2 linked regions of the Arabidopsis thaliana genome follow. The protein of the gene in region 2 purifies or fractionates together with the protein of the main gene of each other region. This does not show direct contact. Each region holds a gene or a part of one and is shown on either strand. Other genes may lie near its edges.

Region 1 (3,741 bases), on a different chromosome or scaffold from region 2:
GAGGTTGTCCACGGAGAAAACAAGTTCCTTCCATTCTTAGTTAGTCTTCTTCTTCTTCACTAGCTAGTGTATGCACATTAACTTTGAAAATTTTCTATCACGAAAACACTACTACAAGTTCACGATCAGACAAAGGAATCTCAGAGGAAAGAGGAAATATACAAATTTTATTATCTTTATGGATACAATTGAGACTCAGCAAGAGTTCTACTGCGTCTGCCACTGCATCTTGATATGATGGGACCCACATAACATTACAAGAGACCAATCAATGTTTGATTGGAGTATGCTGACATGGCAAGGCTAATTCGGTTTGGTTTGTTCCAAAACTTGGATCCAAACCAGAATCATTTCATAGGACACATTAGAATTTGAATACTTTTGGCGCTGGATTCTTATATGCATTGTTACATATTGGCGTTTACTTTCTCCAAATGCTTATATCCAATTAGATGAGTAAGTTTGGTCTTCTTAACATCACTTATGAATAGATTTTGACCAACACAATCTCTGTAAACTTGTTGGTCTTTTTGAATTAGCTTTTTTTCGCTAGAGTGAAAATTATTCATCAAACTTTCAATAGATAATCTGTAACTTCGGATTCATCAATTATACAAGTAATCAGGAGATCGAAATCTGATCAATATCATCTACTAAAGCACTACACTACAGCTTGATGGATTATGTTCGAAGTTACCACATTCTCTGTTTCTGATGGTGCTACGTCTGCGACCCACATTGTTCGACCCTGGGGTGAGTTTGCGCCAGAACTGCAAAACTGCAGCAAGAGGAACAGTCAGAGTTTTAAAGCCTAACCAACCAAAAAGGTAAGAAAAATAGATTACGGTAGATGCACATCAAGATGCCTAACTAGCTATAAATCGTAGTGGGTATGACACAGAAAATGTAGGGAGCACAAAATGGATTCCAAGAACTTAAGAATGGAACATCAAGATGCCTAACAAGCTATATTGCCACACAATAGCCTCTCATACCTTTAGAAACAGTATCAAAACTCAAATGTCAAACAGCAAAGTTCAATTCTCATGCAGTTCCACTAAAGGTATCAAAGGACAATACACTGAAACAAAATATTCTGATACAAAAAATTAGAGAGCAATAACTAAATCACCTTAGGAAGACGAAACAGGGGGCTGCTCAGCAATGGAGGTTGAGGAATTGAGAGCCGCAGCAGCAGCTTGTGGAGAATAAATGCGTGCTTTCTTTATGATTTCTGAAACAATCCAATGCTTATGCTTGCTCAAAGGCCTTGAAGGATCCAATTTCACCTAATATTTCAAACAACCAAATCAAGTTTCATTTCCAAAGCAGCCTAATAACAAACAGGCAAGTCTACTTCCAATGGTTGAGTTCAAATATTCCTAGAGCTTCCCTAAATTTTCGAGCTCTTGATCAAATGTATATCAAATTCAAAAAATGAAGGGGAAAATACTCGATCGCCGATGTTACAGGAGTCCTTTTCATCGTGAGCCATGAACTTGGAAGTACGCTTGACATATCGATTGTAGATATTATTGTGGAAGAGTCTGTCGACGGCTACCACCACCGACATCTGCATTTTGTTCGACACCACTGTCCCTATCACTGCCTTCATTTTTCCTAACGAGCTCTCTCTGGATTTTGAGAATCTAAAGAGCAAAGAGAAAAAGATTCTTCTGGTCTAGGGGTTTTATAATGATGGGCTTTGTTATCTCAGCCCAATTTATATTAAGGTCCATGAAGTATAGTAGTTAACAGAACCGGCCTCATACTAAACCGCTTCAAAAGCTAATTTCTGGTTTATTTAACAGATATAAATAAAATCGAACCGGGATGAGAAGTAAGAAGTGAAGAATCATCGATATGGCTGTTATTGCTTCACTTCATCATCTTCAACCTCTCTCGTCTTTCTCGTCTCCTCCTTCTCCTTCAAGCTCTAAGCCTCTCTATCTAAAATTCCAAACCTCACACCGTGAAAATCTAAGACACCTTTCTTCTCTCGGAATTGTTCCTCAGAATCCCCGACTTGCTCCTCCGGCGAATGATCTTTCCGTTATCCTCTCCGCCGTGAATCTCCTCAAATCGAAAGGAATCTCCGACGAAGATTTCCCACGCCTCGTTTTCCTCTGTCCACAGCTCTTCTCGCCCACTTTCGACATCTCTAAACTCGATCCCGTCTTCGATTTTCTCACCGGCGAGCTTGGAGCTTCCGCAGAAGAATCCAGGGGCTTAATCGTAAATTGCCCGAACATCCTCTTCTCCGACGTTGAGTATTGCTTGAGACCGACGCTTGTTTACCTTAAGGAGCTAGGGGTACGGAATCTGAACCGAGCCAGCAAGACGAACGCGCACGTGCTGAACACGAGAGTTGAGAAGCTAAGAGCAAAGATGAGATTCTTGAAGAGTATAGGTTTCGAACACGAGGAAGCAGCTAGAGTCTGTGGGAGAATCCCGGCGATATTCGGATACAGTGTTGAAGATAACTTGAGGCCCAAGTTCGAGTTTCTCGTTTACGACATGGAAAGAGAACTTGAAGAGCTCAAGAAGTTTCCGCAGTATTTTGCGTTTAGCTTGGGGAAGAGGATAAGGCCAAGACATTGGCATTTGAAGAAGAAGAACGTTAGGGTTTCGCTTAGTAGAATGTTAATGTGGGGTGATCAAAAATTCTACTCAAAATGGAAGCCATAAGCCATAATCTTTTAAGTTTTAACATATGTTAGTATTCAGAAATCTGAAAACAAAAAAGTTGAATTGCATTTCAAGGAAAAGTGATTTTGAATCATATGAAAATTCTTGAGGGAATCATTGAAAATTCAAATCCCGGGTTCGATCACAGACTCTCTTTTAAGGTTACTGACGAATTACAAGATCGATATCGGCCCCAACTTCTGCAATCTTGGCTTCCTTTGACGCCTTCGCTGATTTTGCGATGCTCTCTACATCAAAATCTATCGCTATCTTCTTCACGAGACCTTCAAGCATCTGTTGTTACAAACACACACCGATTAAATTATGTAATTAACAACAAGTGGATTACGTTACTCTAGTTGTTGCGGAAACTAACCAGTGAGCCAATTGCTACCAGACTCCGGAACTTGGAATCAACATCTGCAGCTTCTTCTTCTGCTACCTGTAGTAATAAGTTAAATATTTTTAGCACCAAAAAAATGATAATAAACTATTTGGTACATTGGTCTTCTCCGATTTTACTTTGATCTCAGAGATTTGTGCAAGTGACAGAGACAAAATAAAAACAGATGAGATTCAACTCGGTGACGATGAATAGGATTTGGATGTATGCAACAGTGGTTAAAAATAACCAAATTTAGGCGTACCTGCAAAGCTGCTGAAAGGACTTGAGCTTGACCTTCTTGATCCTTCTTTTCTATTAATAGCACTGCATAACTGAGGAAGAACAAAAGCATAGATTACGGTTTGATCTTTCTCCACAGAGAGTTTAATAATAGAATAAAGCTACAATTTGGCAAAAATCCAACTAGAAGAAAGTAATATAAGAGAGATCTTACTTGAGAAGCAACGTCGAATAAGCCAACTGCAGATTCTTATTTGGGGATGAATAACAGTTTGAGAAGGCATCAAGAATCTGCATTGATCCACAGCAATTAAAACCACTTCTCAAATTATTATAATAAACACACACATGTATAGGCACTATCTTATGTTTAAATGTAATTAGAAACTTAATTTATATGCCCAGACGCAAAAAAGCAATGTATATTA
Region 2 (3,754 bases):
CGAACATGTTTTAGATTTCATAAGAATGTTTTTGACTTTTGACTTTTTATATGGGCTATTAACTGTTTGAGCATTCCATTTGCCTCTACTCCTTTTACTTTACCGGTCGACATCACACCTCTTCCCTAAAATGTTTGTCATAATGGAGCTATATGAAACCGGGAATTTTGTTTATCTATAACCGGTTATATCGATTTGGAAAGGATGCAGTCCAGAGCTTTTCAAGTATTATGTAACCATACATTGTGCTCAAACCATCGTGAGAGAAGAATTTGTGGAACAAACATGAAGGCGACGGTAAAGTCTTACAGCCATGGCAGTCAGAGGTCTGTTGGGTACAGGACCATTTGATGTTGTCTAACACGTATGAGAGAATTTCAGATTTGATTAACATCTACTTCCGAATAAAAAATTTGATTTGTTGAATCCAAACAGAGACTAGAGGGAAACAAAACAGCAGCTGTAATTGAAATGAGTGTTGATATTCTAAGATACCATCATCTTTTACTCGAGAGATCATATAATCTAAAAGAAGAAACGAAGACACGTTTAGATTGTCGAGTTTGCTATGAAGCTGTGTTCAACTTAGTCGATTTTGCAGCTGCGGCTTTTGTGTAGATAGGGTGAAGAACATGACCACCTATTGGATCAACATGAATCCATTTGCGTCCTGTAATCTTGCTTTTCTCGAACCTGACTCGTCCTTCCTTCAATGCAAACAGAGTATGGTCCTTACCAATCCCGACATAGTCTCCAGGATGAAACCGAGTTCCACGTTGACGAACTATGATGTTTCCAGGTATCACACTCTGCAAAATCACACACACACAGACTAAGATTGATTTGATCATCTCAAATGTTATCTAGGTAGGTCAATGTTTGGTTTCTTACCTCTCCTCCGAATTTCTTAACACCAAGAAACTTGGGATTAGAGTCACGACCGTTCTTTGTAGAACCAGCGGTTTTCTTAGTAGCCCAACGCTTCAAGACCAAACTCAACCCACTTGAAGAACCATCTTTAACATCCCAAGAACAAGAATTACACAAATGAGTTAACCAGATCAAAATATAGACAAGAGATTTTGAAAACATATACCGGAAATGCTGCTGCCAGTATAAGCAGGAACCTCAGTGATGAGTTCCCTCAGACTAACTCTTCTGCAAATGGATGCAGCTGAGTTTAAGAAATTCATTTTCTGCAAGCAACAGAGATCAATTCAAACATTAAGCATTCAAGTAGAATTAATACTCTATACAAACTCAATTCAGTGGAACGCAACGAATAAACGAATTGAAAGCAGATCCACACGAAATCGAATCCTAAAGCACTCTAAATAGAGAAATTTCCCAGAGAAGGAGCACAAAGGAGTTATAGAGAAGAAGCTATACAACACAGTCACATAAGAGATGATAAACTCTGGAGATAAAGAAACAAACTTGATTTGAAAATCAAGCACGCTTATAAGAATCTGACCGAAAGACGATCACCGGAGAGCGAGTTTTGGTTTTTGGATGGGATCGTCGGCTGCGAGAGAAGGAGAGAGGTCTCCGGGAGATTTTTCAAGTGAGAGAGAAAGAAAAAGCGTTTGGAGAAAAGAGAGCCGAACCGAACCAAACCAAACCATTCGGTTGTATTTTTTCTCAACCCAAATAGGTAGGTTCGGTTCGGTTTTCGATAACCCAATATATTTAATTAATTAATTAATTAATTATATTAATAATATTGTAAATAATGTAAATATACTAGATTTTAACCCGCGGTATACCGCGGAAACAATTTATTTTTTAATGTTAGTATATAAAAGTTTACAAATTGTATCTAACTATAAAATATTTTTATTTTATAGTTTACAATTATTATTAAGTAACGTCCTATTAAACTCGTTCCGTCAACCCGTCCCGTAAAACAAAACCATTTATTTTATTAATGTTGATCTTATTTATGATATGTTTATGAATTATTGTCTAAATATTTTGTAATTTTGTAGTAATTAAATGCTATCAAATTATATTTCTGCTTTGATTATTATAACTCAATTGTTATAGTCATGGAGAAAAGCAATATCAAAAATGATAATTTTGTAGTAATTAAATGATATTAAATGTTGGAAGTTTTATTTTAGAAAATAATCGTGTAGTTAATGTGGAGAGATTTTGGAAAGATTGTTAAATGTCAAATATTTAATTCGAAGATTTTCTTTCTAATTATCAAAAACAAACATCAAAATCCAGTGGCAGCCATTGTAAATAAGTCCAACTACATGATTTATTTCACAAAATGGCTGCAAAAATGTATATATAGATTTATGGTATATATAAATTATTCAATTTAAAATTCTGATTTGAATTTTTTGTTTAATTTAATATATTATCAAATTCAAAGTTGAGCCATACATTTTGCTCGAACCATTTGATGTGGTCAAAACGAGGTTGATGGCTCAAACCAACCTGAGACTGTGAAAGTGGGGTGAGATATAAAGGGATGGGTGATGCCATTAGAAGGATTTATGCAGAGGAAGGATTATTGGCCTTATGGAGAGGATTGTTTCCAATGCTAATGAGGATTCCACCAGGACAAGCCATTATGTGGGCTGTTGCCTGTTGCTGATCAAGTCACTAGTTTTTATGAGATGAGATTACTCCAAAATACTCCTCTATAGAGATTCTTTTTTTTTTTAAAAGAATCAGTGTTTCTTGTTGGTTTATTTCTGAAAATCTTGTTTGGATTTGGATTTGATCTTTAAGAAAAATAAAACGAGGCTACAGTTTTTTATTTATTTTTAAAATCAAATTTTGGAGTTAATTTGGTAATAAAATATGTTTACCACAAAAATCACTACCCCAAAATTGCTAACAGCGTCAGGTAATTAAACGCGAAATTGCCACGTCCATATTAGTTTGGGCTGGGATTATTTTATTTTGGGCCACGTTTGGAACACAGGCCCACATTTTTCAACCGCAGATGCCAATTGTTATATGTTTATGCTTTTAACCAGCTTCTTGTATTTTTAATTCTCGATATTGTGCGTGATTGATAAGACTCAATATCTGTTAGATTTCATAAGAATGTAGTAACATTTTTTAATTATTTAGCCTAGAAATCAAGAGAAAGTTAACTATCTTTGTCACATTCGTAGTTGAACAGAAGAGTGCTATCAATCAATGTTTTCAATTATTCGAAATTGATTACAAAATATTTTAACGAATATAATTCTTATTACCTTATGCAATTTTGGTTTTTATAATAATCAGATAGATACAAAAAAAAAAAAAGAACCTGAATCCGGCGACTTGGTAAGCAGATCCAACGGCTGAGATTCGGTGAGTGGCCTGGTGGGATGTCATAAAAAAAAAGAAACAATTAGAGACAATAATGACGACTATACCCTTGACGCCGCTGAGCTCCTCCTCCTTCCTCTTGCCTTGTTCAATCTTTCTCCTCGATTCTTCTTCTTCTTCTGATAAAGAAAAAGCAATTCATAGACGATCAAAAAACGTAATCGATTGAAATCTTCCTCCGATCACCACTTCTTCTCCAAGGTTCCAATTCGGTACTCACAAATCTGTTCGTTGCCAGCTCAATGTCATTATATATTCGCGTAGAATCTCTGTAATAGTTTTTGATGATCTTGTTAGTTTTTTCCTTCGATGATGAATTAATCGGAATGTAATGTTCTATTGGCATGGAATGTCTTCGCTTTGAGAATTGTTTCTTTATTAATCTGTGTTAGCTTGGAGGATGTTGTTGTTGTTG

Evidence for each region. The genes of interacting proteins can lie anywhere in the genome.
Region 1: the proteins of AT2G16930 (region 2) and AT3G18880 fractionate together in Arabidopsis thaliana (co-fractionation; one large-scale study listed by BioGRID). This does not show direct contact.

Annotation. Positions count from the first base shown.
Region 1 is NC_003074.8:6,507,462-6,511,202, reverse strand, and holds AT3G18880 (Nucleic acid-binding, OB-fold-like protein), read right to left. Parts: upstream 1,704-3,741; 5' UTR 1,616-1,703; coding exon 1,454-1,615; intron 1,290-1,453; coding exon 1,134-1,289; 3' UTR 1,133-1,133; exon of another isoform or gene 958-1,132; intron 779-957; 3' UTR 501-778; downstream 1-500. Other genes in the region: Tic62 (NAD(P)-binding Rossmann-fold superfamily protein), read right to left, coding at 1-34; AT3G18870 (Mitochondrial transcription termination factor family protein), read left to right, coding at 1,864-2,688; AT3G18860 (transducin family protein / WD-40 repeat family protein), read right to left, coding at 2,851-2,982, 3,065-3,130, 3,336-3,405, 3,528-3,604.
Region 2 is NC_003071.7:7,338,931-7,342,684, reverse strand, and holds AT2G16930 (Ribosomal protein L27 family protein), read right to left. Parts: upstream 1,608-3,754; 5' UTR 1,475-1,607; exon of another isoform or gene 1,197-1,474; 5' UTR 1,194-1,196; coding exon 1,097-1,193; intron 1,017-1,096; coding exon 892-1,016; intron 810-891; coding exon 567-809; 3' UTR 368-566; downstream 1-367.